Linked DNA regions of Macaca fascicularis. The protein of the gene in region 2 interacts with the protein of the main gene of each other region in a pairwise test. Links are inferred from orthologs where the notes say so. Each region holds a gene or a part of one and is shown on either strand. Other genes may lie near its edges.

Evidence for each region.
Region 1: the proteins of NUP62CL (region 2) and OGT interact in binary tests that used the Homo sapiens proteins (3 or more experiments, as listed by UniProt). The two-hybrid records come from large-scale screens. The link is inferred for Macaca fascicularis from reciprocal best matches to the Homo sapiens genes NUP62CL and OGT.

Annotation. Positions count from the first base shown.
Region 1 is NC_088395.1:78,293,608-78,296,496, reverse strand, and holds the end of OGT (UDP-N-acetylglucosamine--peptide N-acetylglucosaminyltransferase 110 kDa subunit), read right to left. Parts: intron 2,888-2,889; coding exon 2,713-2,887; 3' UTR 603-2,712; downstream 1-602. UniProt on the Homo sapiens protein: Catalyzes the transfer of a single N-acetylglucosamine from UDP-GlcNAc to a serine or threonine residue in cytoplasmic and nuclear proteins resulting in their modification with a beta-linked N-acetylglucosamine (O-GlcNAc).
Region 2 is NC_088395.1:113,743,400-113,747,064, forward strand, and holds part of NUP62CL (nucleoporin-62 C-terminal-like protein), read right to left. Parts: intron 2,818-3,665; coding exon 2,667-2,817; intron 2,076-2,666; coding exon 2,026-2,075; intron 1,881-2,025; coding exon 1,746-1,880; intron 1-1,745.

The DNA.
Region 1 (2,889 bases), about 35 Mb from region 2:
AATAATTTTGCCCCCAAAAGCCAAGAAGAGAATGGTCCACACGAAGACCAAGACTACGAGGGTAAATGAAAGCAGAAAGGTCATAAGCAAAAGAGGAGCAAGCATGAATGGGTGTGTTGGGGATCACAGGCTGTCGTCCAGGTTGGAGTGCAATGGCACGATCTCAGTTCATTGCAACCTCCACCTCCTGGGTTCAAGCGATTCTCCTGTCTCAGCCTCACATGTAGCTGGGATTACAAGCGTGTGTGCCACCACTCCCGGCTAGTTTTCTGTATTTTTAGTAGAGACGGAGTTTCACCATGTTAGCCAGGCTGGTCTTGAACTCCTGACCTCAAGTGATCCACCTGCCTCGGCCTCCCAAAGTGCTGGGGTTACAGGCGTGAGCCACCACATCCAGCCACTTTGCCGCCTTAATGGATCATAAACTAACCCACCACCCTCCACCAGACCTGGCTGAGAAAACAATTCCTAATATCATAGCTACAGAAGGGAAATTTGGTCCTTTGCTGCTGTTTGAGGCTGTTCAAATACAGGTTTCATCACTGGATGACCCTATTCATCAAGCCACTCAATATAACAGGACACAAAATACATCAGCCGTATTAAGGGGAAATCATTTATTGTTTAAGGATCGCAAGACAACATCTTAATTTCTGTAGCACGATTTAAATGTTTTACTTCTTTGATAAAGCAGAGTACAATAGAAAAAAAAAAAAAAACAATTAGTTTCCAGTAATATCTATATCTCTAATCAGAATTAAGTCTTCCACAGACATGTTACCTGGAAATAAAAGCCTGTTACAATAAGCAAAGCTTCAACCAGAGCGGCTACTTTTCGTGCCAGGAAAAAGTTCATCCCTGTAGGAGGAATGATGTGCTATGTAAAATGGCTGTAAGGTCACAGCCTTGAGGGCATTGGAAGTATATTACCCTATTCCACATTAAGTAGTTCGGTGAATTTCAAACGTCAGTTTATCTGCAACCATGCTGGCAACCTTTAACTGGTATTTCAATCATCCAGTAAAAAATAAATTAAGAAATCCCTTCACGGATATTCCGTGATTTACATTGTTAAAAGGTACACTGTTCATTAACATGTAATTCTGGTTCAGAATTACCTTTGAGACTCCTAGCTCAAAATTTGGTTAACAGTAAGCATCTTTCAGAAATGCAAGTTCTTATTAATCAATAATTTGTCAGCTAGGATACATTCAGGCATCAGCTGCAACTACAGAATAGGTGCACAGCCTCAGCGCTTTGGAAAGACATAATCTAGAACACTACTGGCAGACAAAAAATTACCTGCGACTGGATAGCGTAAGTGCAGTACAGCGAGACAAAACATATATTCATATGTTGGCTTGTTTAAGCCTCAAACCCTCGACTCTGTTGAGATCCCATAATTTTATTCCTATGACTTTAATAACTCAAGTTCCAGGAGGACTATAAGTCTAATTTGTACTCCAAACCAAATAGCAGTGCAGTTTGCTACTATTGAGGCTGAATCTGTACAGACTTCAAGACCAAGTCCAGAATATCTAAAATATAATTACTTGAATACACAGATGGTCCTTCAGAGATTTTACCTATAACCTGTTTCTTGATGAAGGTTATTTAATGCACTGGAGATAACTGTGACTTACTGATCAAATACTTGAATACTTATACTTACCTGGGATTTCATTTCTGCTGAAAGAAATAGGAAGAACAGGACTCACTTTAAGAAAAAAAAAAAAAAACTTTAGAAAGGAAGGTAAAAATCTTACACACACTATCACTTTTGGAAGCAGCATAGAAGGGGCAGTCAAGGGTAAAACACTGGTGAAACAGGTCAAAATTAGGCCAAAAAAAAAAAAAAAAACTATATTATTATCAATGACAGTACCACAACTGTGCCCTTGATAATTAGTCATCACTCCTAAAAATTTTCATTTGGCACCAGATGGCGTGTTTAAGAGAAACACCCTAGGATGTTTTGAATCAGACTTGATTTTGTTAGTTGAGTTACAGGAGAATTTTAAGGGTGGGGGTATGGGGGTCAGGGAAGAGAAGGAAATGGGAAATGGACCAGAAAAAATCTTGAGTCATCATCTAAATCAACAAAGCACTGATAGCTCCAAACATTAGGTCAGACACTAAAACGACTGATATAGGCTCAAGTGGTTTATAAAACCTATAAAAAGACTACACCAGCAAAGTCCCTGTCGATCTGTCAGAGTTCAGAAACTAAAACAGGGAGTAACATTTTAGCTTAAAACCTTATCTCAAGAGAATCATATACACTTCACATGAATAAAAATACCTGAAACCAAACATTTTTAAAAGCTCCAGTACCCAAAATATAAAGAAAAAAGTTAATCCAGAAGACTGAATCAATCCATGGAATCACAAAGCGGCCGGACAATCTATATCTCCCCTCCACACTAACCATCCCATGGAAGAGACCAAGGGAGATCAGACCTTCCAGACCTATGCACCATCTGGTCGCTGCAAAATTCTACGGAGATTCCTTGTGGAACAGCAGTTTCCCATCTCTTGTGTCTCTCCCTACCATGCAGGAAGCAAGTCTGGCTGTGCTATTCTATTACCATTATATATCACCCATCTGCAACAAGGTACTGTACAGACAAGTAAGAAGTATGTTATCTAGTTCCCTTTCCCCCAGAAGGTTGAGGCTCAGGTATAGGGGTAATTCTCCTGTGCAGTCTTTATTTATGCTGACTCAGTGACTTCAACAGGCTTAATCATGTGGTCAGGTTTGTTGCCAGCTGCATAATGCTCCCACATCTGTAGATAGAGCCGCTCTAGTTCCATTGTGTATTGTTTGGTGTTGAACAGAGGGCTAGATATTCTTTGTTTCCAGACTTTGCCACGAATTTTCTTCAGGCT
Region 2 (3,665 bases):
TCTGTAGAGCAAATGAATCCTTTAAGGTGTCAAAATACACCTACAGGACATTTACATACAAAAGAGAAGTTATTTAGGGTTTGGCAATATTCAATAAATGCTGAGATGTCTTCAATGATCTTGAATACACAAATTTGCAAAATAAAACCTCATATAAATATACTCCATCAGGCAAAAAAGATGTTTTGAGAAATGAGCTTCATGATAATCAAAGATAGACAAATCTGCTAAGTTCACTAGTTGCCTAAATTCTCAAGATTTCCACACAAACTACACACACACGACCCAGTCAATAAATATGTTTATAAGAATTAAAGTGGCCAGAGGATTTTTCAACCTTAATGTGTATAAAGATTTAAAGAGTCAATTAGATTTGTAGGTAACAACTATCTACTGCCTTTCTATGGCATAGTACTTATGCCATAGAATTGGTTGCCTAGATTGTTGAAGATTCTGGTAAATATTTCATCACAATATAAATCTGGGCCGGGTGTGGTGGCTCATGCCTGTAATCCCAGCACTTTGGGAGGCCGAGGAGAGTGGATTATGAAGTCAGGAGTTCGAGACCAGCCTGGCCAACATGGTGAAACCCCGTCTCTACTAAAAATACCAAAAATTAGCTGGGTGTGGTGGCACGTGCCTGTAATCCCAGCTACTCAGGAGGCTGAGGCAGAAGAATCGCTTGAACCCAGGAGGCAGAGGTTGCAGTGAGCCGAGATCGTGCCACTGCACTCCAGCCTGGGCGACAGAGCAAGACTTCATCTTGAATATATATCTGACTACAAAAGAGCAACTGGAAAGGAACTAATGTCATGAAGATTTCTTCAAACTATAGTTAGGATCTTATGGCCAAAAATGTAACTCTATATGTTTCAAAAAAATGATAGAATGCATAGAAAGCAATACAAAGAAAAGAAAAATTCACAAAGGTTGAAATACAAAAGCAGAAACTGGTTTAGGTTAATACAGATTAGTTGTACTTACCACATTTAATGCTCCTACAAAAAAGTTAACTTGCAAGCATGTTAAAAATAGGCCCAGTCTTAACTCATAATAAGTTATTGATAAAATGTGTCCAATTTAGTCTCAGTCTAGATTATGTTGTTCATTCATACAAATTCTAATACTTAATAAATTGACAGACTACCAAACCTCAGTTCCAGAGAAATAAAGTTACTTCGGAAACATTGGCACTGTACTGACAGAAGGTAAAGACTGAAGAGTTCACAAATAAAATATAGCCCTCCTAATACACTGACAAAATCACTCCATTTTTGAAAGCTATACAGTTTGCCTCCAGATTAACAAATTGCCTTTAAAATAGCAAATGATTTATCACTAAAGCAATTGCATGAACATTAGTTTTAGCAGAATCAACATAAAGAGGATACCACAAATATCCCACAATACCATGACACCACACACATAAAATTTGTACTTCTAATTTAAGAACAAATTTGACAAATACAAAACCTTTACAGTGAACATGCATAAGGTTGACAGTAATAACAATAAACAAAATGCTATAAAACAAAATTGCCAGAATGATTTCCTCATTTACAAGCATCCAGAAAAGATAAGCAGAAAACAGTCAAACAAATTGATAAATGTCAACTACAAAAGCTTGTCCCTTTCTACCGATTTGTATTCTTTGCCTTCCAATTCGACTTTTCCCCTCTGTTCCTGGAATGCTCTCGTAATATGTAAGTCCTGCCCCATTCTTCAATCTTTATCCAGTTACTTACGTCTTCACACGCTCCTCATCTGCATCCTGCAGATAATGAAGTCCACTCTGGTTGCTCGTAGCCTCCTCTAAATAAGTCAACAGAAATTCTAGTTCCTGCTGCTCTGACAGGATAAAATCCAATTCTTGTTCCAACCTGAATAAAGTAAGTTAATAAAAGGGCTGATGAAAGGAATTTGGAGTGACAAAAAGAAAAGAGTTAACAAACTACAGAGGGAAAAAAAACACTGAATAAAAAGATAGGTCTTTAATCTTTCAACCAAGGAAATCTAAGGTTCTACCTTTTCTGATCCAGTTTCACTTTGTTCACTTCTCCATGTAAAATACTAATCTATAAAGAGAAATATGAATACAACAATATAAGTATTTGAATTTATATAACAATTTTAGAGCAATATTAATTTTCTCAAATATACTTCAAATATGAAAGATTTCCTTTTATTCAGGGTACTTATTACCTAAGGAATATATTTTGAACTGCTCACCAATATTGGAATAGAGAATTAACCACAGGGCTGGGTATGGTGGCTCATGCCTATAATCCCAGCACTTTGTGAGGCTAAGGCAAGAAGATCACTTGAGCCTAGGAGTTTGAGATCAGACTGGGCAATGCAGTGAGACCCTATCTCTACTGAAAAAACACACACATCATTAGCTGGGGGTGCTGGTGTGCCCCTGTGGTCCCAGCTACTTAGGAGGCTGAGGTAGGAGGATTGCTTGAGCCAGGGAGATTGAGGCTGCAGTGAGCTGTGATTGCACCACTGTGTTCCAGCCTAGGTGATACAGCAAGACCCTGTCTCAACAAACAAAAACATAAACAAAACAACAACAACAAAGAAAACCACAAAACACAGGTCTATGTTCTTATGTTCATCGTAAATACTTGCACAATATAGGTAGATTAATGAAAACATCTTCTTACCATCTCACCATTCTCAATCAATGTACGGTCCCAAGCATTGACCTGAGTGGCCTGGAGAAGAAAGTACTTCTCTTGATCTTCCAGCTCAAGGTTCCACTCATTTATAAGACCCTCCAGGTGACCATATGTCATCACAGGAGTTGCTACTACACTAAAACATAAAAGCATGCAGGATGATCCAATAATCATACTTTAAAAAGTGTGATCAGATTTTAAAAATGAACTCAGGAGGACTCTGAGAAGAAAACAGCATGTAAGGAGTTTCCCGTACCTGCACCCCAAGAAAACAAACATAACTGGTAAAGATGATTTAAAAAAACAACCCCTCAAAGTCACTTGAAATTATCCTAGAGGAATATAGTAAATAAAGATTTATTAAGAAACCTACTAAATCACAGCAAGAATAGCTAAAGTCTGTGCCATAATCTGCTCTTTCTCTTCCCCTCATCCCAGCTCAGCATGACAGAAGCTCCTTTCTGGGTAGGCATAGCTAAGGAGATAGGATTCTCTCTCCCCCAGCTCTTAGTCAAAGTGACCCATTCCCTGTCTGAGAAGTATCCACAAGAGAGTGGGCATTCCCCACTGGGCAGAACCATGTAGAACTCTGATTCCCCTGCCAAGTGGTATCAAAAAAGGCTCAGTAACTAGCTAATCTTTGATCCCTTGGCCAGCAGAGCCAGTCAATGCTGATTCCTCTGCTGGGGCAGTGTCAGCAGGGCTCAGTGGGAAGGTAATCATCAATTTCCTAAGTGGAAGACACAGGCACAATTCCAGTTCCTCCACCAGGGTTCTTTCTGTGGGATCCAATGACAAGTTGAACCTAAATTCCTACCCAGTAGCAACAAGGCTCAATGAGGCAGAAGAGGCAGGGTTTAGTCACCATTAGGCTTCACCTCTTGCCTCTGGTGTCAGAGAGACCCAGTGGGGAGCTGAATCTCTATACCCACCCAGCATCATTACAACTGAACAAGGTAATTCAAGTTAGGACCTGTAGGGATC